2 linked regions of the Stegostoma tigrinum genome follow. The protein of the gene in region 2 purifies or fractionates together with the protein of the main gene of each other region. This does not show direct contact. Links are inferred from orthologs where the notes say so. Each region holds a gene or a part of one and is shown on either strand. Other genes may lie near its edges. The genes, in order: hecw2b and arrdc1b.

Region 1 (16,547 bases), on a different chromosome or scaffold from region 2:
TGTACCTCCAAGTACTCTGCAATCTCATCCTTAATAATGGACTCTAAAATCTTACCAAGGACCAAGGTCAGGCTAACCAGCATATAATTTCCTGTTATTTACCTCCCTCCCTTCTTAAACAGGGGTGCCCTTTCTAGTCCTCTGAGACCCTCCCTGATTCCAGTGATTTGGAGACAGCAAGAACTGCAGATGCTGGAGTCAGACTCAATACAGTGTGGAGCTGGAGGAACACAGCAGGTTAGGCAGCATCAGATGAACGGGCAAGTTAACATTTCAGGTTGTCCTGATGAAGGGTGTAAACCCTAACATTGACTCTCCTGCTCTTCTGATGCTGTCTGATCTGCTGTATTCCTCCAGCTCCACACCGTATGGACGCTGATTCCGGTGATCTCTGAAAAATCACCACAATCTCCTCAGCTAGCTCCTTCAAAAACCCAGGGATGCAGTCCATCTGGTCCAGGTAATTTGTCCACCTTCAGACTTTTCAGTTTCCTCAGCAACTTCTTAGTAATGGGCACTGCACTGACCTCTGCTCCCTGACTTTCTTGAAGTTCCTTCAGAAAACAAGCCACTCATTCCAGGATTTGTTTAGATGAACCTCTCTGTACTGACTGTCATGCAATAATATCCTTTCGTAAGTAAGGAGAACAACACTGCGCACTGTACTCTCCAAGCAATGCTCTGTATGGCTATTGCAAAACTTCTTTTATATCCCATTCCCTCTACAATAGACAGCATTCCATTTGCCTTCCTAATCATTTGCTAACATTTTATGATTTTTGTACCAGCACATGCAGATTGCGGAATTTTGCAATGTTTCTCCATTTAATTAACATACACTTTTTCTACCTGTCCTGCAAAAGTGGACATTTTCTCATTTTCCTACATTATAATTTATATGTTACTGTTTGAACAATCACTTAAGCTGTGTATATATCCCTTTGCAGACTCCTTACACCCTCTTCATAACTCACTTTCCGACCTATCTTTGTGCCATTAATAAACTAGTGACCGTACATCTGACTCCTTCATCCATGTAAATGTAAATAGTTGAGGAACTCCATTCGTTACATCCTGGCACTTTAAAATGACTCATTTGTCCCTACTCTCTGCTTCCTTGTAGTTTGCCAATCTTCTATGCATGCTGATATGTTGCACTGTACACCATGAACTCTTATTTTGTGTGCTGACCTTTTATGTGGCATCTTACCAAATGTCTTTTGGAAATCCAAGTCCATCATTATTACAGGTTCCCCATTATTCATGTTACTTATTCCTGTCTCAAAGAAGTCTAATCAGTTAGTCAAACATGGTTTCCATTTCACAAAATCATGTTGAATCTACCTGATTGCACTATGATTTTCTAAGTGCCATGCGATAACCTCCTTAGTAACAGATTCTAGTGACGCAGAACGTGGGAAATAAAGAAAACATCTTTGAAAATGTCCATTTTACAGAAGAGGAAGTGCTGGACATCCTAAAATGCATAAAGGTGGATAAAACCCCTGGACCTTACCAGGTGTATCTTAGAACTCTGTGGGAAGCAAGGGAAGTGTTTGCTGGGACCCTTGCTGAGATATTTGTATCATCGATAGCCACAGGTAAAGTGGTGGAAGACTGGAGGTCGTCTAATGTAGTGTCACTATTTAATAAAGGTGGTAATGAAAAGCCAGGGAGCTATAGATTGGTAAGCCTGACATTGACGATGAGCAGGTTATTGGAGGAAATCCTAAGGGACAGGATTTACATGTACTTGGAAAGGCAAGAACTGATTAAGGATAGTCAACACGGCTTTATGCATGGGAAATTGTGTTTCACTAACTTGGTTGAGTTTTTTGAAGAGTAATGATGAGGATTGTTGATGGCAGAGCAGTAGATGTGATCTATATAGACTTCAGTAAGATGTTCGACAAGGTCTGCATGGTAGACTGGTTAGCACGGTTCGATCACATAGAATACAGAGAGATCTAGCCATTTGGATACAGAACTAGCTTAAAGGTAGAAGACAGAGGGTGTTGGTGAAGAGTTGCTTTTCAGACCAGAGGCCTGTGACCAGTTGTGTGTCACAAGGATTGGTGCTGAGTCCACTGATTTTTGTCATTTATATAAATGATTTGGATGTGAACATAGGAGGTATGGTTAGATTAGATTACCTACAGTGTGGAAACAGGCCCTTCAGCCCAACAGGTCTGCACTGCCCCTTGAAGCGGCCCACCCAGACCCATCCCCCTATAACCCCCACACACACCACTGAACACTATGGGCAATTTTAGCATGGTCAATCCACCGAGCCTGCACATCTTTGGACTGTGGGAGGAAACTGGAGCACCCAGAGGGAACCCACGCAGACACGGGGAGAATGTGTAAACTCCACACAGACAGTCACCCAAGGCTAGAATTGAACCCGGGTCCCTGGCATTGTGAGGCTGCAGTGCTAACCACTGAGCCACCGTGCCGTCCCAAAGTATGTTAGTAAGTTTGCAGATGGTACCAAGATTGGAGGTGTAGTGGACGGCAAAAAAGTTTACCTTAGAGTACAATGGGATCTTGATCAGATCGACCAATGGGCCAAGGAGTGGCAAGATGGAGTTTAATTTAGATAAATGTGAGGTGCTGCACTTTGGAAAGGCAAATCAGGATAGGACTTATACACTTAATGATAAGGTCCTGGGAATGATCCTGAACAAAGAGACCTTGCTATGCAGGTTCATATTTCCTTGAAAGTGAAATCTTACGTGGGCAGGATAGGAAAGAAGGCATTTGGTATGTTTGCCTTTATTGGTCAGTGCATTGAGTTTTGGAGTTGGGAGGTCATTTTGCAGCTGTACAAGGCCTTAGTTCGGCCACTTTTTGAATACTGTGTGCAATTCTGGTCTCCCTACTATAGCAAGGATGTTGTGAAACTTCAAAGGGGTTAGAAAGAGTTTACAAGGATGTTGCCAAGGTTGGAGGGTTTGAGCTTTAGGGAGAGGCTGAATAGGCTGGGGCTATTTTCCCTGGAGCATTGGAGGTTGAGGGGATGACCTTATAGAGGTTTGTAAAATCATGAGAGGCATGGATAGGGTGAATAGCCAAGGTGTTTTTCCCCCACGGTGAGGGAGTCCAGAACTACAGGGCATATAATTAAGTTGAGAGGGGAAAAATTTAAAAGGGACCTAAGGGGCAACTTTTTCATGCAGAAGGTGGTGCCTGTATGGAATGCTAGAGGACGTGGTAGAGGATGGTACAATTACAACATTTAAAAGACATCTGGATGTGTGTCTGAATAGGAAGGATTTAGATTGAAATGGACCAAATGCTAGCAAATGGGACTTAGATTAATTTAGGAAACCTGGTCAGCAATGATGAGTTGGACCAAAGGGTCCGTTTTCTTGCTGTACAACTCTATGATTCTTTATCAATGATAGACTAATTGGCCTGTAATTTCCTGTTACCTGTCTTCCTCCTTTCATGAATATAGAGGTCATATTTGCTGTACACCAAAGTGATGGGACCTTTCTGGAATCCAGAGATATTTGGAAAATTACAAGCAATACATCTATTATAATAGCAAATACTGATCAGCTCCTTTCCCAGGAGACTATAATTGTTTTAGGTTCCTCCCCCATTTTTACCTCTTGATTTACAAGTAATTCTGGGATTTTTTTATGTCTTCTAAGGAGAAGATGGGCACACAATATATATTCAACACATCTGCCATTTCCTAATTTCTGTTATTAATTTGTCAAATCACTTGCTACTTGATTACTGGTCATTTTAGTTACTCTCTTTTATTTTAAATACCTGTAGAAACTCTTAGCTATTTTTCATATTTCTTGTTAACTTTCTCATGCCCTTTATTTTCTCCCAGTTTTTGGTCATATTTTCTTTTTAATTTGATAGTATCTTTAACCTCCTTTGTTAGGAAATGATGCATGCTTCTCAAGTCTTTCTCACAGGATTGTAGCGTTTGTGGATGTTATGAAACATCTCTTTAAATGGCTTTCACGCTTAACCTGATTTCTCAGTTCACTTTAGCAAACTTTGTTAGCAAACCTTTGTAATTGCCTTTAAGTTTGAAATCTTTAGTCTTTTTTCCACCCCTCTCTCCCTGAAAGTGAATGTAAAATTCTATTGTATCAGAGATAATGGGAACTGCAGATGCTGGAGAATCCAAGATAATAAAGTGTGAAGCTGGATGAACACAGCAGGCCAAGCAGCATCTCAGGAGCACAAAAGCTGACGTTTCAGGCCTAGACTCTTCATCAAAGAGGGGGATGGGGTGAGGGTTCTGGAATAAATAGGGAGAGAGAGGGAGGCGGACCGAAGATGGAGAGAAAAGAAGATCGGTGGAGAGGAGAGTATAGGTGGGGAGGTATGGAGGGGATAGGTCAGTCCAGGTAAGACGGACAGGTCAAGGAGGTGGGATGAGGTTAGTAGGTAGGAGATGGAGGTGCGGCTTGGGGTGGGAGGAAGGGATGGATGAGAGGAAGAACAGGTTAGGGAGGCAGAGACAGGCTGGGCTTGTTTTGGGATGCAGTGGGGGGAGGGGATGAGCTGGGCTGGTTGTGTGATGCAGTGGGGAAAGGGGAGATTTTGAAGCTGGTGAAGTCCACATTGATACCATTGGGCTGCAGGGTTCCCAAGCAGAATATGAGTTGCTGTTCCTGCAACCTTCGGGTGGCATCATTATGGCACTGCAGGAAGCATGATGGACATGTCATCTAAAGAATGGGAGGGGGAGTTGAAATGGTTCGCGACTGGGAGGTGCAGTTGTTTATTGCGAACCGAGCGGAGGTGTTCTGCAAAGCGGTCCCCAAGCGGAGGCTTCACACTTTATTATCCTGTAAAATTCTGTTGTGTTGTGATCATTGTTACCAAGCGGCTCTTTAGCTATGAGGTTATTAAGAAGCGTCATATCAAACTCAAAATGTTACCTCTTTCCGCCGCCACAGATGTTGCTGAGTTTCTCCAGCACTTTCTTTTTATTTCCTTCCATCATCCGTAGTACTTTGCTTTTATTAATTAATTCTGTCCTGTTGCATATTACGGGGTACAGAAAAGCCGGCTGTCTGGCTCCAGAATATGTTCCAAAATTGTCCCAAAACATGCTTACCTCATCTTCTAGATTACCTTTGATAATCTGATTTGTTCAATCAATATATAAAATAAAATAACCTACTATTACTGTCATAACAAACTCAGAAAATGCTGAAGAAACTCATCAACCTCTTTTGTCTGGCTGAGCTTGTTATCATTTTGAACAACTTCTCATTTAACTCATCTCATTTTCTCCAAATTAAAGTTGTGGCAATGAATACACACATGGGTCCCAGTCATGCCTGTCTCTTTGTGAGATACGTGCAACATTCTTTGCCTCAGTTTCAGACAACCCCACACTCAACTCTTTCTCTGGTACATTGATGATGCCTTCAGTGCTGCCTCCTGCTTTTCTCCAGAATTGGAAGAATTAATTAGTTTTGCTTTGTATTTCCATCGTTCTTTCACTTTCACCTGGTCCACTTTTGACTCTTCCCTTCCCTTCCTTGATTTCAATATTTACATTTCTGACGGAAAGCTTTCCACCAATATCCATTACAACTCGCCTGCAGTTACCTTGACTACACTTCCTCATACAATGCTGCCTGCATGGATTCCTTTCCATTCTCCCAGTTTCCCCAACTCCATTGCATACATTTTGATGATGCCATCTCCCACCAGGCTGCATCTGAAATGATTCCCTTTTTTCTCAATTGAGCATTCCCTCCATTGTGGTTGACAGGGCCTTGAACTGTGTCTGACCCATCTCCCATCATTCTGCTCTCATCCCTTCCCCTCTTCCCTGAACAATGATAGTGTTTTCCATGTCCTTACTTTCCAACTCACTAGTCTCCCCTGCTATTTTAGCCACCACCATACACATCTTCCTCTTCCATCCAATATCAGTATTTGCAGGGACTGTTCCTTCCATGACACCCTGGTCTGCCTTCCATCACTTCTAACACTTCCTCACTCCCCCATGGTACCTTGCCAAGCAATTGCACAAGGCATAATACTTACCCATTCACCTTCTCCCTGTACAAGGTCCCAAGTACACCTTCCAGATGAAGCAGTGTTTTATTTGTCCTTCTTTCAATCTAGTCTACAGTGTTCACAACCACAGTTCACTACAGCGCTCTCCTTTACCAAATGCAGACTGGGTGACTGTTTTGCAGAACACCTCCACTCTATCCATTGGGACTACCCTGACCTCTCCATTGCTGGCCTTTACAATAAACCACCTTGTTCTCATGCTAACATTTCTGTCCTGGGTTTGCTGCAATGTTTCAAATAAGCATAACATTAGCTTGAGGAACAACACCATTTTCACACTGAGGCACTTTGCAGGTCTCAGTATTGAACTTAATAACTGCTCACATTATGTCAGTTCTTCATTTTTCTTACATTATCTCCCCACCCCCTACCCCAACCCTCAGGCCTTCTCTGTGCCTTGTTCACTTTACATTTAGTTGAGAAGTCCAATTCTCTCTTGACACTTTAATTTCCACCCATTTTATATCTTTTTATTTTTCTCCACCATTAACAACCCCTTTGTCTTTTGCACTGAGTGAACTCCTCTGTCAAACGTATATATAAAAAAAGCATTTTCCAACACCTTTCAGTTCCAAAGAAATCATACGGTCTGGAAACACAATCTTTGTTTTTCACTCTGTAGATGCTGCCAGATCTGCTGAGTTTCTCCAGCAACCTCTGTGTTTGTTTTGGATTTCCAGCAACGCAGACATTTTGCTTTCTTCTGAATGATCACTGCTATGGCTTTCTCGTAAGTCCCTGATATTTCTTCCTGTTAGCGAGTTTTGAGAAGATTTGTAGCTCAGGTTGAGTTTCTGGATGTGAGTTTGCTCGCTGAGCTGGAAGTTAGTTTTCAGACGTTTCATCACCATTCTAGGTAACATCATCAGTGAGCCTCCGACGAAGCGCTGGTGTTATGTCCCGCTTTCTATTTATCTGGTTAGGTTTCCTGGGGTTGATTATGTCATTTCCTGTGTTGGTGATGTCATTTCCTGTTCCTTTTCTCAGGGGATGGTAGATTGGCTCCAAGTCAATGTGTTTGTTGTTGGAGTTCCGGTTGGAATGCCATGCTTCTAGGAATTCTCATGCGTGTCTCTGTTTGGCTTGTCCTAGGATGGATGTGTTGTCCCAATCAAAGTGGTGTCCTTCCTCATCTGTATGTAAGTATACGAGTGATAGTGGGTCATGTCGTTTTGTGGCTAGTTGATGTTCATGTTTCCTGGTGGCTAGCTTTCTACCTGTTTGTCCAATGTAGTGTATGTCACAGTTCTTGCAAGGTATTTTGTAGATGATGGTGATAATGGGAACTGCAGATGCTGGAGAATCCAAGATAATAAAGTGTGAAGCTGGATGAACACAGCAGGCCAAGCAGCATCTCACGAGCACAAAAGCTGACGTTTCGGGCCTAGACCCTTCATCAGGTCTCTGATGAAGGGTCTAGGACTGAAACGTCAGCTTTTGTGCTCCTGAGATGCTGCTTGGCCTGCTGTGTTCATCCAGCTTCACACTATTATTTTGTAGATGACATTCGTTTTGCTTGTGTCTGTAAAGAGTCTTCTAAGTTCATTAGCTGCTGTTTTAGTGTGTTGGTGGGTTTGTGGGCTACCCGGATGCCAAGTGGTCCGAGTAGTCTGGCAGTCATTTCCAAAATGTCTTTGATGTAGGGGAGAGTGGTTATGGTTTCTGAGCCCGTTTTGTCTGTTTGTTTGGGTTTGTTGCTGAGAAATCGGCGGACTGTGTTCTTTGGGTACCCGTTCTTTTTGAATACGCTGTATAGGTGTACTTCCTATATGCTCTACCCTCTATTGTCTCTTCTCTAAGGGTTGTGATTTGAAACTGTACTTCAGAATTTGTGTGTATAATTTAGACTGATGTTCTATAAATCATGATTCTGGTTTGTGTTCATACTCTAATGTACAACTATTTGAAGTGACCAGGGTCGCACATCTTCAAGCAAGATTGCTGGACACATTAACTGGTAATTTGTGTTATTCCAGTTTGTGAGGTCTTGCTATGTGGCATATTTTAAACATTATTTTATTTTGAAGAAACGCACTCACTTGTTGGTAAATGCTACAGTTATTTGGTACACGTGCCACAATAACCTAATTGTTCAAAGACTGGATGATGAAGAAAAGTTGGACGAGGGACTATGGAATTCACATACTGTGAATGCTGGAGAAACTCAGCAGGCCTGGTAGCTCCCGTGAAGAAAGAAACGGAGTTCACGTTTCGAGTCCAGTATGATTCTTCTTCAGAACCAACAGAATTCTGTATTCGCCTCCTTCAAATACTGTCATTGTATCTCGACAGAGCTTCAGTTTCATATTCCAGCTGCAGGTTAGCGCTACCTACGAGTGGAGGTGCCGGTGTTGGACTAGGGTAGAGAGAATCATAGCTAACATGGTAATAGTCCAACAGGTTTACTTGAAATCGCAAGCCTTTGGAATCACTTCACCTAATGAAAGAGCAGCACTTCGAAAACTTGTGATTTCAAATAAACCTACCGGACTAGAGCCTGATGCTGTGTGACATCTTGAACTCGTGCACTATTATCTTAGCGCAGGAGGTGGCAGAACAATTAAGGTAGCACAAGCTGATACAAGTCTTCCTTTGAAATGAACGTCATGATACTGTATTTTGTAAGCTTCAACTTTATAATACATATAATCCATGGAGATAAGTAGGTCTGCCTACCCAGTAATTTATCTGTCTCCCCAGTGAGTTAGAACTTTAGCACTGATTTATATTTAGGGATGATTGTAAATATATATTGACTGCGGCCCTTGGTAGCACCCTCCAATTTTCCTGTTCCTTCTTGTGTTAAGGTATTTGGCCTTCATGTGATCACTCCCAGTTATACTAGGCCATGGGAATTTAATAAAGGGGTGGAAATGCTCTCCACTGTGCCAGGGTTGCGTGTGTTTGTTGCTTATTCTGTTCTACCTCTGTCTTCCCTTTACTGTTCAAACTATTCTCGTAGGGCACCTGTTCGACTTTCTGGTAAACGGGCTGCTCTCTGATGAACGGTCTAGGCCCGAAACGTCAGCTTTTGTGCTCCTGAAATGCTGCTTGGCCTGCTGTGTTCATCCAGCCTCACATTTTATTATCTTGGATTCTCCAGCATCTGCAGTTCCCATTATCTCTGCTGCAATTTATGTTGGTCACTGGCTGGATTAACTTCACAGCTGCACATTTTACAGTGAGGGAAATGGATGGCCAACTCTACAGAAAGGACTGAGAGCCGATTAAGGAAAACCCAGTAATTTGGTGCCCTAATCCCTTGTGGGCACTATCCTTGCAATCTTCACCCTGCATAAAACACAGGCGACGGTGCTACTCACCAGCCCTTCGATCTGGTCTGATCTGAATGGCGATGCGTCTTTTCTGGAAACCTGAAACAAGATAAAGCTGCGGGATCATACTGTAAATCTCCACCTGCTGCATCACGGTTATTTCTCTTCCCTTCACACCCCCCACCCCATCCCCTCGGAAAAGATGGGAAGAGCCCCCTCCCCTGCATTTCCAGTCACAGAGGGGCTCTAGCCGCGTCTGAAAGCCCCTTCTATCCGTGCACTGAAGCTTGCCGACCCTTTGACAGCCGCTGGAGTGTGGTCTTGGCGAAGTGGGAGGAGCCCTCCCGCCCCCTGTGTGAATGACACACAGGAATCCCGCCCAAACCTGGACCCCGGCTGCTTGAATGTAGGGAGAAGGGAAAGAGAGAGAGACAGGAGGCCGAGAGCAACTCGGCTGGGCTGCAGAGAGACCGCGGCGGCGTCTGCTTGGGGATGAGGAGCCGGCCGTGACCCGACGTCGGGAGAAGGAGGTGGGAACAGCGGCGAGGCAAACATGCTGCAGCAGAAAACAGGCGGCGGGCATGGGGGGGACGATTCCCGAACACCTCCAGCGGAAGATCTGCATCGCTTGCAATAACGACGAGCCCGGGATGTATATATTTCTCCCTCGATTTTAGAGCAAAGAAAAAGGAAGGAGGGAGGGAGGGAGTGTGTGTGTGCGGACAAAGTAAGACCAGTTGGGAGCATTAGAATTAGAAACCCAGTCTGAAGGCTGCGGGAAGAGGGACTGAAGCCTGTTAGCAGCCGCATTGAGTGCTGCTGGAGACGGAAAGACTTCCTGCGTCTTCCTGAGATTGCTGGGCTGCTCGGGATGACAGGATTGAGTACATCTTTCTCCCTGAGGTAAGTAATCGCTCCATTCCAACTCCATCCCTCACTCCCGGTCTGTCGGTGAATCTGATGCAGGATCTGAGGCCGGAGTTTCCTCCTCTCCTGGTCCTGGGGGAAGTCTCTCTGGGATAGTCCCCGGGCCTGGGATCGGCGACGGGAGAGAAACTTGCAACAGATCGCCGTCCCTAACCAGAGCGGCCGGCATTCTGCAATTATCAATAAGATACATATATATAAAAATAATATTTAATGACGTGTTTTTGAATCAGTTCTGATGTGAAAGGGTTTTTGTCCAGGTATTTTTGTGGATCCCATCTGTATCACTCCTCCCTCCAGTGGTATTCGGGTGGTGCTCACCTGTTTTTTTCCGAAAAGATGTTTTTATTTTGGCTCGCCTGTGTTAGCCCACCTTCGTGGCCCCGCCTCGTCCCCGGAGCGGGGTTTGGTTGTGTCTAGGGAGGTGGGGAGCCTTTGGTTGTGTCCAGACAATGCGACATTGGTTTGGAGCTATCCCCCCTCCGTCCCCACCCCCTCCGGCAGCGACTCCTCCGTCACATCACCTCACAGCTGTTTACACAGACCGCCGCGTTATCGCGCTGCTGGCCGGGCTTCGGGGAGGTGGCGGAAAGGACGAAGTGGGGTTGTCGCGCCGCTGGGGAGGTAAAACAGTCTCCCGTCGAGTTGGTAAATAATCCACCGGCTTCACTCGCCTTCAGGGACTCTCTCTCCACTCGCCCTCATTGGGCGCCTCGGGCAGACCAGTGCCTAAACGCAATAATAACATCTTTCTGATATAGTGGTGGAGGTTTCCCCTTGGGGTGTGTTGCTTCATCTGGCGTGTAAATAGTCAATCGTCCCGTCTCCACGAACTTTGACAGGGTTGATCACACCATCCAGTGACAGGGTTTTCTTGCAGCAGCACCCGCCACCGTCCTTACGCCTGGCAGTAAAATCACCTGCAATGCTTTCTCTTTCCTTGCACTGCAACCTCTGGTGCTTTCGTAGAAGTAATCTTTTATCTCCTGTTTCTACGACATTCTGTACCTTGACGACATTACACACCAGTCTTTGCTTCCATTGACAGCAACACTCGGCTCTATCAGTTTTCTCAAATACTGTTGCAGTATTAGATTGCCTGTTCAACATTGAGAGCTGGATGGGCGGAAATTTCCTTCCATTAACTATGAAACCACCTCTTGCTTGGAACTCTGTTCCCTAGCTACCAATTCCATCTCTAGCCTGACAACTATTCAGGGCTGAAGCAGACTGATCAGAAATACTTGATTTTGGCAGGAGGTCCCAACCCACATACCTGCACCCTCCCCAATTCTTACTTCTAATGCTGCCCAACTCCATCTCTGCCTCGGCTAATCTCTTGCCAAACATTTTATCACCACATTCTGGAATGCCTCAACTCGGCGAATGCTGAAACCCTCATCCATGCCTCTGTTATCTCTACTCTTGACTACTAATTCTTGGCAAGCTTCCCACATTCTACCCTCTGTAAACTCAAAGTCATTCAAATCTATGCTGTCTGTTTCCTATCAAATTTCTTTCACTGATCATTCCTTTGATTGCTGTTTCTGCTTAAGCAGCACCTCATATTTTAGAATTCTTCTTAGCCTTGTTTTCAAATCTCTCCATGACTTCGACTTTCACTGTCTAATTTCTTCTCACTCTGGGATAGCTGAACTCATGGCCTGTTGAGCATCCCCAATTTTAATTGTTTCAAAGTTGGGGAACATACCATGCTTCAAACATAACATCTGGAATTCCCGATCTAAAACCCTGCGACACACCTTAGAACTTACCTCTTTGATAATCACTCCTAATGTCTCAATCACTAATGACTCAGTCACCCCATGACTCAGTGTCAAATTTGAGCCAGTGGTTAGCACTGCTGCCTCACAATACCGGTGACTTAGGTTTGATTCCAGCCGCGGGCAACTGTGTGGAGGTTGCATGTTATCCCTATGTCTGCGTGAGTTTCTGCTGGATGCTCTGGTTTCCTCCCATAGTCAACAGATGTGCAAGTTAGGTGGCCTGGCTATACTAAAATCCCCGATTGTGACAAGGGATGGGCTGGCGAGATGGATTAACAATGGGGGATGCTGTATCTGGTTGGGATGCTGTTCAGACAGTCGGCTCAGACTCGATGGGCAAATAGCCTCTGTCTGCGCAGTAGGGATTCTATGAAATTTTTGCTTTAGTGAAGAATTTTAGGACATTTTACTATATTAAAGGTACTACGTAAATGCAAGTTTAGTTTGATTGGACCATTAGTTTGTTATGTTAGCAGTGCACTTAAGTGGGCTCTTGTGGTGCTGTAAAGTGAAAGAAAAACAGAATGTGCTGCAACTACTTAACTGGTCAAGCAGCTTTTGTGGACAGTGATGTGACCCTGTTAAGTTTAAAAGATTTAGATTCCCAGTGATGGTCTGAAAGGAATTGCACAAAATATAATATTTCAAAACTCTTACTGGAACAAACAAACTAAAATCAACATTGATCAAATATTATTTAGGCAACCAATACTCTGAACTGCAGACAAACCACCCTTTATGTCCATTTTAATATACTGAAAAATTCCTTGCCAGAGTTATACTTGCAGCATCCTCTCCATAGAATCTTAATTCTTTTGTACAGGAAATGTAAGAATAGGTGTAGGTCATTCAGCCGCTGAGTCTGTGCTGCCTTTTAAAATGACTGATCGAACATCAGTGTCTTTTACCCATGTTATCCCCAAACCATCTGTGCCATTCAGAATCAAAAAAATGACCAACTTCTACTTTAATGATACTCAAAGTCTCAGCTTCCACAGCCCTCTGGGGCGGATTAATCACCCTCATTAATGGAATATTGTCCTTACCTTGGCCCTAAATGGCATCACTTATTATTATTTTGTGCTCCCTGGTTCAAGACTCCCTCTTACTTGCATCTACCCTGTCAATTCCTTTGAGTATTTTGTAGGATTTCAGTAAGATCTGTTACTCTTTGAAACTCTAGAGAAGACCAGTCCAGTTTGCCCAATCTCTTGTCACAGGACAAACCTGCCATCCTGGAAGCAGGTCTGATGAATCTTTGTGGCACTCCATCTATGGCATAGATAAAGGAGACCGAAGTTGGACGCAGTGCTCCAGGTGTGATCTAACCAAGCTCCTATATAATTGAAGCAAGACTTTACTATTCCTGGACTGAAATCCTCTTGAGATGAAGGCTCATCTTCCATTTGGCTTCTTAACAGCTTGCTGCACCTGCATCTTAGCCTTCAGTGATTTAGTTAGAAAGACACCCTTCACACATCTATACCTCCAACTCTCTTACCATTCGACAAGTAGCCTGCACAACTGTTCTTCTGTCCAAAACCTCTCCTCCTCCTTAAGGACAGGGTTGTGCTTAGCTGTGATGTAATGTACAGTTGATCCTGTCTCTTGTTGTCATCAATTTTACTTAATCATCATAAGACAGCAAAAGTAAGTTTCTGCATGACAGGTCTGAACAAGAAAATTATGTATGCAGTGGAGTGAGAATACTGCACAACATAAAACATGAAAATGGTTAAACAAAGCCTTCAGTAAAGGCAATACTCTGGATAAGAAATGCTCTGATTTAAACATTTGTTAAAAGCTCATAATGTTGAAATCTACAAAACAAAATATTTCAAATCCCTAGAAAATTAATTTACATTCTTCTGGCATTTGCAAACTGCCATTGCTCGAAAAGTTAGTTACCTGGTGGCAATATTATTCATTGGTACAATTCAAATTAATTGTTTTGGCTGACAATAATAGACTTGACATCGACATTCTGTTTTAATATCACTGACCTTACATGATGCATTAGTTGACCGTCAACTTGCTTGGCAATTGCCAGTTCTGTTCAGATCTAGAAATTGGCTGGCATTCCTTTTGTTATTGATTTAAAGCACAGAGATATGCTTGACATAACTCAGTGAGTGCAGTATGTTCTTCACATTGATGGTCAAAACTGAACATTGCAAAGCAGTATTCTCATCTTTTTAATGCTGTGTTCTTCTCAAAGGGATGACTATATTTTTTAACTACTAGCCTTAACTGTTCATTCTTTGGGTTTTAATATTGTGATTTCTTTTCTACAGAAGGAGTGGGATGAAAAATACATATTCTCCATCACATTTAGCAGTATATTTTTCATTAGTAGACTTAAAGAGTATGTAAACTGTAATTCCATTGTGAAGTATTTTGCCTCCGAATCACAAGGATTGGGCGAGCGATGGCCTAGTGGTGTTATTGCTGGACTATTAATCCAGAGACCCAGGTAATGTTCTGGGGAGCTGGGTTCAAATCCCACCACAGGCAGATGGTGGAATTTAAATTCAATAAAAATATATGGACTTAAGAATCTAATGATAACCTTGATGTCAATTGTTGAAAAAACCCATCTGGTTCACTAATGTTCTTTAGGGAAGGAAACTGCCATCCTTACCTGGTCAGGCCTACATGTGATTTCAGACCCACAGCAATGTAGTTAACTGTCAACTGACCTTTGGGCATTTAGGGATGGGCAAAAAATGCTGCGTGCCCAGTGACACCCTCATCCCGTGAATGAATTTTTAAAAAAATTAGGTTTATGTCCAACATGAGGTCTTGACAATCTAAAATATCCTGTGGCACAATATCAAAGAAGAGCAGAGGAGTTATCTCAGGTGGCTTGTTCTATATTTATCAATGATTTCTTAAACACATGGATAAAATGTGTATACACACACAGGTGTCCCTACACCATAAACTGAAAGAGAACTGTCCATTTATTCTCTCCTGCCAGCATTGATTGACAATGAATATTGTCATATAGAGTTTAATGGTTCTAAATCAAATTGATCTGAGGTTAGTAAATTTGCGGATTACACCAAAATTAGTGGTATAGTCAACAGTGAAGAAGGCAATCTAAGATTAGAAAGGGATCTTGATCAATTGAGCCAGTGGACTGAGGAGTGGCAAATGGAATTTAATTTGGATATTGCGAGCTAATGTATTTTGGTAAAACGAACAAGAGCAGGACTTATACTGTTTATGGTAAGGCCTTGGGTAGTGTTATTGAACAGAGAAGCTGAAGGGTTCAGGTACGTAGCTCTTTGAGAGTTGTGTCACAGGTGGACAGAATGGTTGTGAAGGCATTTAGCACACTGGCCTTCCTTGTTCAGACCATTGAGTGTAGGAGTTGGGATATTGTGATGAGGTTGTACAGGACATAGGTGAGGCCACTTTTGGAGCACTGTGTACAGCTCTGGTCGCTTTGCTATAGGAAGGATATTATTAAATTGAAGAGCGTTCAGAAAAGATTTACCAGCATGTTGCTGGGACTAGAAGGTTTGAGTTATAAGGAAAGGCTTGGTAGCCTGGGGCTTATTTCACTGCAGCTTAGGAAGTTGAGGGCTGACTTTGTAGATGTTTACAAAATCATTAGAAGTCTGATTAAGATGAATAGCACAGATCTTTTCCCTCAGGTGGGCGAGTTCCAAAGTAGGGGGCATATTTTTAAGATGAGAGGAGAAGGATTTAAAAAGGACCTGAGGGGCAACTTTTTTGCACAAAGGGTGGTTCGTACATGGAATGAACTGCCAGAGGAAGTGGTAGATGCTTGTAGTTAGAACATTTAAAAGACATTTGGATAGGCACATGAATAGGAAAGATTTGGAAGGATATGGGCCAAATGAGGGAAATGGGACTAGTTTGGTTCAGAAAGCTTGGTTGGCATGGACGAGTTGGACCGAAGGGTCAGTTTCTGTGCTATATGACGTTGAGATGGTCTTGTGACCAAGTCATACATGCAAAAGCTAAAACTGTACTTTGTGATACAACTATCCAGGCTTCATTGTGGAAAATTTTCTAGCCCTGATATTTGTAAAGAGTTCAATTTTCTGTATAATCTGACATAATATATTTCTCAATACAGTCAATGGCCAGATTGTTTTTCAGAAGAATGTTAGAATTTGTTTCACAAGCTATGACTGTGAATCAGAAGACATTAAATGAAAAAAGGAGCATGTATGCTGGAAATCAGAAACAAAAACAGAAATTGCTGGAAAAATGCAGGCCATGTGATGACAAGGTCTGTGATAATGGGAACTGCAGATGCTGGAGGATCCAAGATAATAAAATGTGAGGCTGGATGAACACAGCAGGCCCAGCAACATATCAGGAGCACAAAAGCTGACATTTCGGGCCTAGACCCTTCATCAGAGATGGGGATGGGGTGAGGGTTCTGGAATAAATAGGGAGAGAGGGGGAGGCGGACCGAAGATGGAGAGAAAAGAAGATAGGTGGAGAG
Region 2 (16,419 bases):
CACTATGCTATAATAGTCACCTGTAGAGAGATATTTCACTGCACAGCTCAAAACCTGAAATAAAACTTCTAAAAATCCCCTTGAAGATTTGGTTATTTCCCTCAAGCTTAAAAATAACAAGTTCCAGAAATCTATAAAAAAACATTGAGGCCTCTTTATTACCCAATCCAAGATAAACAAAAATCTGTTAGCGATGCACAAAAGCCCATTCATTCCAAAATTTGGACTTAAAAATGTTTTAAAAGATAGCACCATGGCTGCAGAAATACTCAATTTAATTAGCAACTTAGACACACAGAAAACCCACATTAATTCAGAAACCAAAAATCCAAACTTATAATAAACTGCATTAAAATACCATAGATAAGCATTAAGCTAATTGACTTATAGCCTCCTATTTTGAGTTCCTTCAATAGAGGAAACATATTTGCTATTTTTCAACCTGATAGCACTTTTCCAGAATCAAGGCAATTTTGAGAGAGTCAACCAATGTTTCTACAACAAGCAGCCAATTCTTTTAACACCCCAGGAGGTCGTCCAACAGATCCACTGGACTTCAGTTCTGAATTTTCATAATACTCTTTCTAAAACTGTTTCCAGTTCCTCACTCCCTTTCATATTATGATTCACAATTATTTTTAGGATGCCATTTGGGTCCTTGAAGTATCTTTTCAATTCAGCTATTTCCCAATTTCCATTATAGGTAGTCCCCAGGTTGTGAACAGGTTCGGTTTCCAATTCTGCTTGCAAATCGATTTATAACCAAGTCAGAACACAATACAGGAAAATATGAAGTAGCAAATTCGTAAGTATAGGAACATTTGTATGTCAGATCTTAAAAATTACACCCTTATATTCCTAAGTCAGATGTTGGTAAATTGGGGATCCCCTGTAATTCCCCTGACATGCTCCCCAGAACATTGTGCTTTTTAAAATGCCTATAAAAACTCATTTGTTTCCTCATGCTCTGATTTTCCATTCCTTATTAATCAGTCTTTTTGGCTTTACTTCATATGCTGTCATTTTCTGACATGATATCTTTGCAGAATAGTATGCTTTTCTATGGATTGGCTATAGCTGTTAACTTCCGTAGCCACAGATGATATATCATTAATTCAAAATATGTATTTCACACTTGCATACACACTGAGTATTCAGAAATAACAAGTGTCTGCCAGAATATCGTGAATGGCCTACACCTTACTCTAGTGTCCCAATTCACTTTAGCTTCCTTTGTTTTCATGCCGTAATTGTTCTTGTTTAAGTCTAAAATGCTAGTCTTAGACTACTCTTCTCTACTTCACGCTAAATGCAAAATGGTATTACAATCATTATTACCTGGGGTTCCTTTACTTTGAGCTCAAAAATTAATTCTGTCTCACTACACAAACAGCATGCCTAGTATAGCCAGTTTCTGGTTGACTTTAGTACACACTCCGAGGAAACTGCCCCAAAAACACTGATCTCACCCACCTGGATGTTCTAGATAACCTTACTCATCCAATTTATATGCAGATCGATAATCATTGGTGATCACACTGTATCTTTCTTAGGTCCCGTTTATTTTTGCACATATAAAGGAGGCATGTCAGGTTTGTCACAGAAACCCTACAGTGTGGAAGTAAGTCCATACCGACCCTTGGAGCATAACTCTATCCCTATAACCTTGCATTTACCATGGCCAATCCACCCCTAACCTGCTCGTTTTTGGACTGTAGGAGGAAGGCCACGCAGACACATGAAGAACGTGCAAATTCCTCACAGACAGTCGCCTGACAGTAGAACTGAATCCAGTTCCCTGGTGCTGTGAGGCAGCAGTGCTAACCACTGAGCCACTGTGCCACCCAAAAATCGCATGTTGAGGAAACACAGTCGGCAGCACATGAACCTGCATAGGCAAACCCCAACTGACAACTAAATCAACACCTTAGCCACGCGGCCATGACAACTACAGACAGCTGGGATCGAGAGATTCAATACAGGAGTACAAGGGCAACAGAAGGATACTTGAGAGAAATCAGGAAGGCAAAAAGGTGACATGAGCTAGCTTTGGCAAATAGAGTTAAGAAGAATACAAAGAGATTCTACAAGTATGTTAAGTGCTAAAGGCGGCCCCGAAAGATCAACATGGCTGTCAATGTACGGAACCACACAGGAGATGGTTTAGATAGTAATTGAATATTTCGCGTCAGTATTTACTGTGGAGAACAACATGGAAGATCAGGAACTTGGGGAAATAAATAGCAATGTCTTGAAATCAGCTCATATTACAGAAGAGGTGGTGCCAGAGGTCTTACAACACACAAGGATAAATAAATTCCGGAACCTGATCAGGTGCTTCCCAGACTTGAGGGAAGCTAGCAAAAAGATTGCAGGGCCGGAAGATGGATAATGTGGTGCCGTTATTCAAGAAAGGCTGTAAGGAAAAGCCAGGGAACTAGAGGCCAGAGAACGTTAGATGAGTGGTGGATAAGTTGTTGGAGGGGCTTCTGAGGGACAGGATTAACATGCATTTGGAAAAGGACTGATTAGGGATAGTCAACATACTGTGGGTGTGTGGGAAACCATAACTTGATTAATCTCCTTAGTCACCTCTTCAAAAAAGCCAATGAAGGCACACTGGTAGACGCTGTCTAATGGACTTCAGCAAAGAGACAAGGTTTCGCAAGTTTGACCAGTTAGTAAGGTGAGATCATATGAGATCAGGGGAGCTAGCCAACTGGATGCAAAATTAGCTTGACAGTAAGAGACAGAGGGTACTGGTAGAGCATTGCTTTTCAGACTGGAGGCCTGTGACCAGCAGTGTGTCCCAAGGATTGGTGCTGGGTCGACTGCTTTTTGTCATGTATATAAAATTTTCTGGATGTGAATATATGTGAGATATGGTTAGTAAGTTTGCAGATTACACTTAAACAGGTGGTGTAGTGGGCAGTGAAAAATTAGCTCAGAACAACAGAACCTGGATCAGATAGGTCAACTGCCAAGGAGTCACAGAACGAGGTTAATTTAGATAAATGTGAGGTGTTGCATTTCGGTAAGGTAACTCAGGACAGGACTTAACCAGTTAATGGTAGGGCCCTGGTAATACTGCTGAAGAAAGATCGAACAGTTCCTTGAAAGTGGAGTGACAGGTACACAAGGCTGGTGATTCGCACATTTGTCTTCATTGGTCAGACACTGAGTATAGGAGTTGGGACATTATGTTGCATCTGTACAGAAAATTGGTGAGGCTACTTTTAGAATACTGCGTATAATTCTGGTCACCCTTCTATAGGAAGGATATTATTAAACTTGAGGCTGCAGAAAAGATTTACAAGGATGTTGCCAGGTTGGAGGATTTTTGTTATAGGGAGAGGCTGAATAGGCTGGGGCTATTTAACCTGGAGCATTGGAGCCTGACAAGTGACCGTATAGAGGTTCATATAAATCATAAGGGGCATGGTGTGAGTGACAGGGTGAACAGCCTAGGGTAGGGGAGTCCAAAGCTAGAGGCCATAGCTTTAAGTTGAGTGAGGAAAGACTTAAGAGGACCTGAAGAGCAATTTTTTCAAGCAGAGGGTGGAGCACATACAGAACCAGTTGCCAGAAGAGGTGGTGAAGGCAGGTACAATTACAAATTTGAAAGGCATCTGGAAGGGTATATGAATGGGAAGTGTTTCGGGGGATATGAGCCAAATGCTGGCAATCTGGTCTGGCCTACGTGACTCCAGACCCACAGCAATGTGGCTGATTCTGAACTTCTCTCTAGGGAATTAGGGATTGTTCCAACTATACAGATACGATTTCCTCAATGCTGGAATCAATGCTCCAGAAATTGAAACCTATCCCGCTCGCACGAATCTTTTGATGCTCGTATTCATGTCACTCATTTTATTTAACTTAAGCTAACTTGCTTGCGCCTCAGATAACAGAGAACTAAACCCCCGCAGTGCTGTTTTAATTTAACCCCGGTTGCTCTCATTCTCTTAGCAGAACCTTTTTCTTAGCTACACCTATGTCACTGGTACAGGCGTGAATTGTAACCACTCATTGCTTCCCTCCCACTACCGAGCACAAGACAGGCACAGTCTGCTGTCCCTCACTCAATGCAAAGAACCATATCTAACCCTCAACTATGCTGTGTCCTATTACCACTAGATTCCCATTATTCCTATGAACTTCACCTCGCTCTCCCAGCTCCACCTATCTGAATGTTTTCCTGTACCATTGTGCCCTGTCCATATTTTCATAAATGCAGCATACAGGGGAGATGTTAGTCTGCGCTATTCTTGTCTTTTATCTTAATTATGAAACCAGGTTTATTTTCTTGATTTTATTATTGCTTATGACAGTTATTGCCTTACAGAGATTATCTTACTAACCATCTTCTCTATTTGATTCTATAAATGGTTCTCATCCCTTAGATGACTTCACACCCACTCCCTTTTGAGGTCATTATTTACTCAAAAAAAGTACTGGCCTCTTCAGATCTTTAAACCACAGTTTAATTCTTTATCCCTTATAAAATCAGGAATGTGTTTTTACATCCCAAGTCAGGTTTCTCAAAACCTCATGCTCATGTTTCATTAATCAGGTTTCCACGTACAGCAAAATAGCTTTCAACACATCATAAACGACATCCTCTGAACCACGGTGCATTGACGATCTTTCTGCAGCCTTTAAAATGGTTGATCAACTACAATTCTGTCCTCAAACATCAACTATTCATTTTATAGCTCAGTAGAATGACATTTACTTGGTTCCATTCTTTGTGGTCCAATCATAGTCAAAATCGACCATGGTTTCTGTTCTTGCAAAACACCTTTATGCTTAGGTCAATCTATTTTGCTAACACTTTGCTGTTGGTCAAGATCAGAAATCTGGTCAAATGTCATATGTGTTGGCTGCTCCTAGCTCTAATATTTCTCCTAACTCCGCCATTATCTTTGCATTGGGAGATTTCACATCTGACATCCCACTATATCAATTTCTCCCATTTAAACATACAAAGACCAAGCCAATATCTCCTGTTCTTATCATAATCTTGCTGTTGTCAAATCTATGACTCATCTGGCCACAGTACCTAGGTAGAATCAGACTGTTTACAGCTAAATGTCAAACTGTGTTCCAACCCAATTCCTCTCACTACAGACTGCTGACTCTTAGCACTAACATTGGCTATGGCAGGGATGGAGATAGACAAGGTGCTACTCAAGCATTCAAACATATCTTTTTGAATTTAAGGCTTAACTGCTACCAAGTCTTCAGGTTGGGGTCTATGATCTTCAGCTCACCTGAAACACTTATCCATCCTGTCCACACCAAATTACAATCATTTTTCTGCCTCTACAAATATACTTAATGCCACCAGTTTAAAGCATGTTCTGAACTCGTTTACTAGTTTATCTTCCCTGAGAGAATTCCACATTGCCTTCACTAAATCAGAACCCTACAAAGTCTATATTTCTGACTCTGGCATCTGTCCTCTATGTGCATGGCCCTTGGAGTGGTGCTTTGAATCACAAGGACCCTCACTCACCCGTCTTCTCCCTTTACCATCTCCTCCCTACTTGAAACTCTCATCCACAAGCCTTGGTCACGTTTCCTATAATTTCCTTTGGTAGTTCAGCAATGATCTTTTGCACACACTTTTAGTTTGTGAAACACCATGGAACTTTGCTTTACATTAGGGATGTGATACAGAAGCAAGTTGTGGTTGTGCACCATTGTCCTCAGGCTGAATAGCACAGATAATTCTCTGACCAGTGACCCTGTTAAGTAAGTGGATATAACTGCACCATATCGAGTTTGATGTCAAAAGGACCTGAAAAAAAAAGAGAAATCAAAGTATTTTCGAAATGGAAAGAAGGTAGAAGCTGTGAATGAGTGGAGAAATTAAGGAAGTCATAGTACAGCTATCAATAAAAGCTTGTGGACAACTTCAAATAATAATTTAAAGATGAATGAAATGCTGGCCCTCATTCCAAAGGGTCTGGAATTTATATCAAGACATGTGGAACTTTGGTTAAATCTGTTTGGAGTTCCACATTCAAGACAGTTCAAAAGGACACAGATACACAGATTAAATTAGAATACAAGTTTATAGAATATATCTATGCTTGCCAAAATTAAGAATAATAATGGGACAATCTGAATGAGGACTTTCAGATGATTTAGAGATGCAATAGGGTCAGGGAACATAGGGATAAAACAATCAGGGTGATCCTATACTGCACTTCTTCACGCAAAGGAAGTCTTCTCTTTCCAACCCCAAAAAATCTGACAGTACCTTAACTGAAACTTTTAAAACCAAAGCTGATAGACTTTGTTAGGGAAAGATAGTGATCTCAGAATGAAGATGTAGTTAAGCCACAGATTTACTAAGAACTAACTGAGCCTGTTGTCATTCACACAGTGAATGTTGACTTAGGAACTAGGCATAAGGCAGAAATAAGGTTATTTGCTCTCAGTATATGGGCTGTAAAGAGCGAATACAAAGCTCACTAATTAAGTAAATGGGCACCAAATGAGTGTTTAAGCAATCTTTGCAAAAACTTGGTTATTCCTTAGCTTTACTAATAGTTTTTCACAGCAACAATGCAGGGAAAGAGAGTCTGGTCTCTAATCAGGTTACTTATAATAATGCTTCACTAAGTCAATTCCTTCCAGCCCTCAGCCTTCAACCAAAATGTTCCAAACTTCTCAACAGGGCTTTCAGGATCCCATCAGCTTCACCTCAGCATGGCAGAATAAGAACCTCTCTCATTTTAAACTCCCTTCCTAAATCTGCAAATATCTCAAGAAGCACTGCACTGATTAACTTAACTCACACTGCCTATCCTTTTGCTTTATAGCCAGTGACTATTTACCTTTCACCAATATTGCCACGGTTGGAAAGTTTAAACTATAGGGAGAGGCTGAATAGGCTTTTCCCAGGAGCATCAAAGGCTGAGGGGCAACCTTATAGAACTTTATAAAATCATGAGGGGCATGGATATGGTAAAATAGAAAAAGACTTTTCCCTGGGATGGAGGAGTCAAAATCTAGAGGGCACAGGTTTAAGGTGAGAGGAGGGAAAAGATTTAAAAGGGACCCAAGGGGTAACATCTTCATGCAGAGGGTGGTGCAAGTATGGAATGAGCTGCCAAAGGAGGGTTGTGAAGGGGGGTACAATTACAACATTTAGAAGGCATCTGAATGGGAAAAAAAGAGGAATGGTTTAGTAGGATATGGGCCAAATGGGACTAGTTTTATCAAGGAAATCTGGTTAGCTTGGACAATTTGGAACAAAAGGGTCTGTTTCCATGCCGTACATCTATGATCACTTCTCCAGATGCTTCTTACATACGAGTTACTAAACAAAAAAAAAGTTTTCAATGCACAGTGCATGTATGACTTCTCCAAACTATCTGGTGCACATAAAACAGCTGGAACATTAAGTTGTGTCCAAATTACCATGTTTAACCAATCTCAACATGAATAAATACAAAAACGAATAATCCATGTAGTTTTTTTAAAATTAAAAAGCCTGAAATTCTACATCACGTCCCATGAACACTCACTCAAAACTAGATACAGGTTTCAATTACATCAATAAATTTTGACATCTGTTAGCAATTACATCATGGACTCAAGTGTCAAACCTATCAGACTTTTCTCACTTTATCTGATCAAAGCCCTGCGCTGGATTACTGATAACCCATTTTCAACCGTTTGTTAAACTCCACCCTACATCATTTGTTATGTCCAGTAAGCTAGCTATTGGTTTCCAGTAACTAATTGCCATTAGACAAGCCCATGACATTCATATTTTGGATAGCAATACAATTCTGCGTCAAAAAACAAAATAAAAATGTACATTAGGTTTTAGGTATATTAAATATACAGCTTCAATTTTCCATTAGAGTTCAGAACATTTATAAAACATTCAAACATTACCCAGTTTATGACAGAAATGACTGCGGTGATTAGTTATTTGAAATGATGCAAAAGCTTGCTCTCTGAAGTACATTATAACACTATTAATTCCTCTTAATCCTTCCAAAAGCTTTAAACCACCACAAATATGGGTGACAAAAAGGAATCCTAACGGCTTCTCTTCAATCTTGTCTGACCGCTACAAATAAAACAAAACCCTCAGGGCACTTCTCCAGATTCGGGACTCTAAAATTCCTCATCGGACACGAACGCTTCAAAGCTTGGTGTCTTTTTAGCTCGCCGGCAGACTGAGTGCCTTTGCCGTTCTTGCTCGCTCCCTCCCAACTTGTCTCACTTGCCACCTGTAAAGGTCTCACTTCCACAGAGGACTCCTGTCCCTCCAACTTCCCTGAGCCTGCCAGACCCGGAAGCAGCTCAGCGCGCCGACCCAACCGTCGCCTCCAGGGGCTGAACTTCAGTAGCCCCCTCAACCAGCCCTCCTCACTCCTCGACCCGCTAACGGGAGAAGGGTGTGGGGGGGAGGGGGGGGGGAACATACAGACAGACCGGCCGACCGACCTTTGAAGTTGAGATGCGCAGCCAGCTTGACTCTCACTTCGCCGGTGATGAACTCGCCGGGGCTGTAGACCACTTTGTTGTCCTTCAAGACGACGCTCAACTCCTGAACTTTCCCCATACTCCAAGCCGCGAGCCACCGCCGGACTGAACCGGAAAGGTAGAACGCGACGCCCTCACGTCTCCGCACCCGCCCCGATCCGCGACGTCAACAAAACGCCCGTCCCGCTGCATTCCAGGGACACGCATCGACCGCACTGTGCACACGCTAAGGAGCCCCGCCCACATGCCTGACGTGTAGCAAATAATGTGTCAAGTCATGCCAAACGTGTGAATAACAGATAACACTCGACAATCTACTGTATTCTGCTCTTCTGGCGAAGCGTCACTGCACTCGAAACTTTAACTCTGTTTTCTCTCTCCACAGATGCTGCCAAAGCTGCTGAGATTGCCCAGCAGCGTCTGTTTCTGAACACTGTTTTCTCTCTCGCCAGACCCGCTGAGATTGTCCAGCAGTTTCTGTTTTTGCTTTAGATTTCCAACATCCTCTGTTCTTTAGTAAGAGGAACACAAATTTACCCCACGGGTGAGCACGGTATTTTCATACAGACTAGCACAACTGTGAGTGGGACTGTAGTTAACCAGTAAAGACAGCAAGTTTTAATTAGTTTCTGAGAATGAATATCAGTCCATGTCACAGATGAGCATCAGGGGATTATTTGGATCTGTTGTACAAGTGGAAGTTTGTTCATTGTATAAATAATTGTGAATTTATTAAACACATTCACCTCTTTCCTGACAATAGAGCAAGGGACATCACAGTACTGTCCCAGACAACAAAATGTGAGGCTGGGTGAACACAGCAGGCCAAGCAGCATCTCAGGAGCACAAAAGCTGACATTTCGGGCCTAGACCCTTCATCAGAGAGGGGGATGTGGTGAGGGTTCTGGAATAAATAGGGAGAGAGGGGGAGGCGGACCGAAGATGGAGAGAAAAGAAGATAGGTGGAGAGAGTATAGGTGGGGAGGTAGGGAGGGGATAGGTCAGTCCAGGGAAGACGGACAGGTCAAGGAGATGGGATGAGGTTAGTAGGTAGATGGGGGTGCGGCTTGGGGTGGGAGGAAGGGATGGGTGAGAGGAAGAACAGGTTAGGGAGGCGGAGACAGGTTGGACTGGTTTTGGGATGCAGTGGTTGGAGTGGAGGAACTGGGCTGGTTGTGTGGTGCAGTGGGGAGAGGGGACGAACTGGACGGGTTTAGGGATGCAGTTGGGGAAGGGGAGATTTTGAAACTGGTGAAGTCCATATTGATACCATTAGGCTGCAGGGTTCCCAGGCGGAATATGAGTTGCTGTTCCTGCAACCTTTGGGTGGCATCATTGTGGCACTGCAGGAGGCCCATGATGGACATGTCATCTAAAGAATGGGAGGGGGAGTGGAAATGGTTTGCGACTGGGAGGTGCAGTAGTTTGTTGCGACCTGAGCGGAGGTGTTCTGCAAAGCGGTCTCCAAGCCTCCGCTTGGTTTCCCCAATGTAGAGGAAGCCACACTGTGTACAGTGGATGCAGTATACCACATTGGCAGATGTGCAGGTGATCCTCTGCTTAATGTGGAATGTCATCTTGGGGCCTGGGATAGGGGTGAGGGGGGAGGTGTGGGGGCAAGTTTAGCATATCCTGTGGTTGCAGGGGAAGGTGCCGGGTGTGGTGGGGTTGGAGGGCAGTGTGGAGCGAACAAGGGAGTCACGGAGAGAGTGGTCTCTCCGGAAAGCAGACAGGGGTGGGGATGGAAAAATGTCTTGGGTGGTGGGGTCGGATTGTAGATGGCGGAAGTGTCGGAGGATGATGCGTTGTATCCGGAGGTTGGTGGGGTGGTGTGTGAGAACGAGGGGGATCCTCTTTGTGCGGTTGTGGCAGGGGCGGGGTGTGAGAAACGTGTTGCGGGAAATACGGGAGACGCGGTCAAGGGCGTTCTCGATCACTGTGGGGGGCAAGTTGCGGTCCTTGAAGAATTTGGACATCTGGGATGTGCGGGAGTGGAATGTCTCGTCGTGGGAGCAGATGCGGCGGAGGCGGAGGAATTGGGAATAGGGGATGGAATTTTTGCAGGAGGGTGGGTGGGAGGAGGTGTATTCTAGGTAGCTGTGGGAGTCGGTGGGCTTGAAATGGACATCAGCTACAAGCTGGTTGACAGTACTGTCCCACTTTCCCATTGATATTTTGTCAGTAAAAGCAGGGAATTATCTGATTGACACAAATGGCATGGATTTGTGAGGGGTAGATCAGGCCTCACAAGCCTTATTAAATTCTTTGAAGAGGTGACCAAACACATGGAGAAAGGTAGAGCAGTGGATGTGGTATACATGGATTTAAGTAAGGCATTTGATAATTTTCCCCATGGTAGACTCACGCAGAAAGTAAGGAGACATGGGATAGGTGGAAATGTGGCAGATTGGATTCAGAATTGGTGGACGGAAAATAATCAACATGGTGCACAGTTATGAGTGGTGTACTAGAAGGATTTGTCCTGGGTCCTCTTTCTATTTGTGATTTTTGTAAATGATTTGGATGTAGGAGTGGAAAGGTGGATTAGTAAGTTCGTGGACGATACAAAATTGGGTCGTGTTGTGGATAGTCCGGAGGGCTGTTCTAGGTTACAAAGGGTCATTGATAGGATGCAGAGCTGGGCTGAAAAGTGGCAGATGGAGCTTAACCCTGAAAAGTGTGACATGATTCATTTTGCAAGGACAAACTTGAAAGCCGAATACAGGGTTAATGAAAAGATTCTTGGCAGTGTGGAGGAGCGGAGGGATCTTGGAGTTCATGTCCAAAGTTCCCTGAAAGCTGCCACTCAGGTGGATAGAGTTGTAAAGAAGGTGTATGGTGTGTTAGCTTTCAATAATAGAGGGATTGAGTTCAAGAGCCATGAAGTTATGCTCCAACTATACAAAACCCTGGTTCGGACACATCTGGAATATTGTGTCCAGTTCTGGGGTTCCGTCATTACAGGAAAGATATGGAAGTGTTGGAAAAGGTGCAGAGGAGTTTTACCAGGATGTTGCCTGGAATGGAGGGAAGGCCATATGAGGAAAGGTTGAGAGAGCTAGGGCTTTTCTCTTCAGAATGATGAAGGATGAGAGGTACTTGATACAGGTGGACAAAATGATCAGAAGTATAGATAGAATGGACAGCCAGAGACTGTCTACGGTGGAGGTAGCTACTATGAGCAGACATAGTTTTAAAGTTAGTGGAGGTAGATAGAGGGGAGACAACAGAGGTAGGGTCTTTACTCATAGAGTGGTAGGGGCATGGAATGCATTTCTAGAGAGGGTAGTGGAGTCGGCCTCATTAGGGGCATTTAAGCGGCTATTAGGTAGGCATATGGATGATAGTATAAGGTAGGGGTTGAGGTTGGATAGACCTTAGGTCTAGGGCAAAAGTTCAGCACCATATTGTGGGCTGAAGGGCCTGTGCTGTGCTGTACAGTTCAATGTTCTATGTACTATACTCATTGGAGTGCAGAAGAATGAGAGGTGTGCCTAGTGAAACGTGTAGAATTCTGAAAAGATGTAACAGGGTAACTGCTGAGAGGATGTTTTTCCCTATGTGAGAGGACATAGTCTCAGAATAAAAGGGGCATCAATTTAAGACTAAGATGAGGAGGAATTTCATCTCTCAGAAGATTGAGCGTCTTTGGGCTCCATGCCACGCAGAGTTGTGGGGCCCAGAATCTATCTGTATATTTTAAGGCTTAGATAGGATTCTTGATCAGTAGCGAATCACAGGGTAAGGGAAAAGGACAGGAAAGTGAGGATTTTCAGATCAGTCACTATCCAATTGAATGGCAGAGCAGGCTGAATGGGCCAAATGACCTGCTCCTGTTCCTATTCTCTTATGGTCTCACCTTCTGGATACAACATTGTGTTCAACAACTTTAGAGCCTCAAAAGGGTAAAGAGGAGATTCACCAGGATGTTGTCTAAGCTGAGGTGATTTAGAGATGAAAAGAATCTAGACAGCCTGGTTGTTTTTAAGGTGTAGGAGTAGATTTGTAGCTCAGATTGGGGATGTTTTGACTGGTTGGCTGGCTGAGCTGGTTTGTTGTTCCGCAGAAGCTTCATTACCCTGCTAGGTAACAACACCAGTGCAGCCTCCGATGAAGTGCTATTGTGTTTTCCTGCCTGTTATTTAACCTCTGGAGTCCATTGAGCTGGATTACCTCACTTCCGGTTTTCCTTCACAGTGGAGTGTATATGGGGTTGAGCTCTATGTGTTTGTTGATGGCTTTCCTGGTGGAATACCAGGCTTCTAGGAATTCCTGTGCTTGTCTCTGCTTTGCTTGTCCCAGTCGAATTGGGGTGTTCTTTATCTATATGGATAGAGATGACCGAGTATTGGTCGTGTCTTTTTGTAGCCAACTGATGTTCGTGTACCCTTGTTAATTTCCTTCCTGTTTGTCCAATGTAGTGTTTGTCACAGTCTCTGCAGGGAATTTTGTATATGACATTGGTCCTCCCCAGAGTGGGTAGTCGGTCTTTGGTTCTGGTGAGCAGTTGTCATAGGGTTGATGTGGGTTTGTGTGCTACTCTTATGCCCAATGGTCGTAGGAGTCTTGTGGTCAGTTCAGATGTGTTCCTGATGTAAGGTAGCGCGATGAGTGTGTTGGGGTGTGTAGTATCTTCGTAGGGTTGTTTTCTTTAAGCAGAGAAGACTAACACAGAGTATCTGATCGAGGTGCACACAGTTAAGTTGTCCATAGACAGGGTATTTTGGAATAAATGTTTCTTCTTAGTTCAAATAGCTCAATAACTGTGGGCACAGTGTTAATGTAAAGAGCAGGTGATTTAGAGGAGATTGAGGAAAAGATTTTTTCAGCCAGCAGGTTTCTGGAACTCACTACCTAACTGGGTGGTATAAGAGGGAGCACACAAAACCTTAAAAACTATTTCAATGAACACTTGAAATGCAAATAAAGCAACAAATTAAGTGCTAGAAAATTGAATTAGAATAATTGGATGTTGATGATACAGTGGGCTGAAATGCCTCTTTCCATACTGTAAAAAGTCTATTACTCTATGAGCATGAACACTATACTCCATGTTAAAGACATCAGCACCCCCAGTGTCTTGTTTACAGAGGCATGCCCTCAACAAAACCTACCTACTATTTTCAACCAGAGACAGCATGAACTGCCAATGCTGGAGTCTGAAATAACACAGCATAGAGCTGGAGGAGCGCGGCAGGCCAGGCAGCATCAGAGGAGCAGGAAAGCTGACATTTCGGGTTGGGACCCTTCTTCAAGGGTCCTGATCCAAAACTTCAGCTTTCTGGCTCCTCTGATGCTGCCTGGCCTGCTGTGTTCCTCCAGCTCCATACTATTTTCAGCCACTCATAATGATCACTAACCTCTATTTTCCATCTTGAATATCGTCAGCACTATGTCAAATAAAAGCAAAATACTGTGAAAGCTAGCCATCTGAAATAAAAACAAAGTGCTGGAGAAGCTCAGCTGGTCTGGAAGCACCTGTGGAGAAGCTAATGAGTCGAGTTTGAGTTGAGAAATTGAAAAACATCTGGACGGGTTTATGTGTAGGAAGGGTTTAGAGGGATATGTTTCAAATACTGGCAAATGGAACTAAATTAATTTAGGATAAGTAGTCAGCATGAATGATTTGGACTGAAGGGTCTGTTTCCATGAGGTACAGCTGTATGATTCGCTGACCCTAAGTCAAGTATAACTCTTATACGAACTCCTGTTTTGTTCTGGGCACCATCACCATTTAATCCATTCACCAATGACGACATCCCAGAACTTCCCTTTATGAACAGCATAATAGCCTCCATTTTCCAGACCATTCAGTTAAGAACAGAGAGTAATTTCGGAACTGAAGCATTAACTTCGTTTCTTTACTTCACAGACACTGCTGGACAAGCAGAATTTCTTCTGCACACTCTTTTCATTTCTGAGAAGGAACAAAATAATTTTGAATTCTCTCAATGAGTACATTTCGTGCAAATGCTTTAGATTCTCTATACAGACTGATGTGGTTGGGCTGTTGGGTTGTTTTTCACAGCCTTTATTTCCTTAATCATTTGCAACACTGCATGAGGCTATTTGCGTCAGACCTACACCAGTTTTCAGTGGTTAACTCCACAACTAGTCATTGGGGCAATATTGTAACAACTAAATGTAGCCCAGTCCCTATCAATTAAATGTCACACACTGTAGTTATAATTTACTAGTCAGTACTTTGCCTGTGTCCAATGCAAAATTTGGATCTGAAACAAACAAATTCCCACTCCCTATGAACTGAAACATGACCTCGAGCAGTGAGTAATTTGAGATAACACACCCCGCTTGAACAATGGAAATGATTTATTGTTTCTGGATTTGTTTGTATAATTCCTGCCAGCCACCCATGTTACGTATGAGAAAGATTAAAACCGCCAGACATTTTTGTAACAGCTTTATTGATGGATAACTTTTAAATTGCCTGTTGTTAGATATAATTCAACTTTCAGCTAAGAATAGTTCAGCAAACAAACCAGTCAGCTCAGTCCTTGTATATGCCGATTTGTAAATGATAACCTGATGATTACTGGATGCAGCATTGTCCTAACTTGCTGATTCTGCCAAAGGGAAGGACCCCGCAAACTGGTCTTTTGAACAAAATAATTCTAGGACAACCAAACAAATGTATAATCACATTTCTAGAAAACCAAACCAGGACACTTGGGATTCTACTGGGATCGAGTGAACACCAAATGTGAGTGACTAAGACTGGGTACTGAGTGAATTCATCATCGACTTAAATTCACACTAAAAGAACTGCAGATGTTGGAAATCAGAAAGGTAAACATAAATTACTGGAAAGGCTCAGCAGGTCTGTGGAGAGAAATCAGAGTTAACGTTTTGGGTTCAGTGACCCTTCTTCAGAACTGAGGAACTGAACTTCTGTTTTTGTTGCCAACTTAAATTCATTTATTCGAGTCATTTATGGTATTCTGCAATTCAGTAGAAGGACCACAAACTTTTCAGTCTACTGGGGCTGCCAGACCTGCTGAGTTTCTCCTGCAATTTCTGTTTTTATTTCAGAACTTACACTTAACCTGACAGTGGACTTAGCTTCTCCTCATTGGAATACCGATGTCCAAGTTGCCTTTATACCTTTTGCCTTTCCCTTTCCACGCACATGTAGGACTTGAAATGTAGAACTTGTTAACCCTTTCTAAGCCACAACCGATGGCATGATCAGGGAGGTCTCTGAACCTCAATCTGCCTCAGTATTACATGATTAGATTTTTAGTTATCTAGGTGATGCATGCACAGTGCATGGTCAATCTTGGATGAGCCAGGTGATATATAGGTGATTTCTTAATGGCTTCTTTGAAAGTAACAATTGCCTACTGCAATACTTTCCATTATCCATTGATTGCTTGTTTAGATTTCATCCACCAGAGAGAATCTCCCTATTTATTTCAGAGTACAGAAAGGCTTGGAGATGTTGTGCAATGAGAACAACTTCTCTCTCAATGTCTGCAAACTGATCATAAGCTTCAGAAAGAAGGGAGTAGAACACCCCCCACGCGCCCCCCCCCCCACCCCCCGGCTACATCAACAGTGCTGACGTTGAGAGGGTGGAGAGCATCAAGTTCCTAGGAGTAACAATAACTGACAATCTGTCCTGGACTTCCCATGTAGATGAGAAGGTTAAGAAGGTACAACAATGCCTCTGCATCTTCGGGTGGTTCAGGAAATTTGGCATGTCCACAATGTCCTTCACCAACTTTTATGGATGCACCATTGAAAGCATATTGCCCAGGTACATAATGGTCTTGTACAGCAACAGCTCTATCCAGGACCCTATGGAGTCAGAGAAGGTTGTGTGCACAACTCAAACCATCACAGAAGCCAACCTTCCATCCATGGACTCCATTTACACAGCCCATT

The links.
Region 1: the proteins of arrdc1b (region 2) and hecw2b purify together in Homo sapiens (affinity purification with mass spectrometry; 3 studies listed by BioGRID and IntAct, counting the BioPlex papers as one, with this or other methods). This does not show direct contact. The link is inferred for Stegostoma tigrinum from reciprocal best matches to the Homo sapiens genes ARRDC1 and HECW2.

The regions. Positions count from the first base shown.
Region 1 is NC_081360.1:32,268,122-32,284,668, forward strand, and holds the start of hecw2b (E3 ubiquitin-protein ligase HECW2), read left to right. Parts: upstream 1-9,660; 5' UTR 9,661-10,250; exon of another isoform or gene 10,251-10,444; intron 10,445-10,595; exon of another isoform or gene 10,596-11,476; intron 11,477-16,547. UniProt on the Homo sapiens protein: E3 ubiquitin-protein ligase that mediates ubiquitination of TP73. Acts to stabilize TP73 and enhance activation of transcription by TP73. Involved in the regulation of mitotic metaphase/anaphase transition.
Region 2 is NC_081382.1:18,478,422-18,494,840, forward strand, and holds the start of arrdc1b (arrestin domain-containing protein 1b), read right to left. Parts: upstream 8,667-16,419; 5' UTR 8,594-8,666; coding exon 8,476-8,593; intron 1-8,475. UniProt on the Homo sapiens protein: Functions as an adapter recruiting ubiquitin-protein ligases to their specific substrates. Through an ubiquitination-dependent mechanism plays for instance a role in the incorporation of SLC11A2 into extracellular vesicles.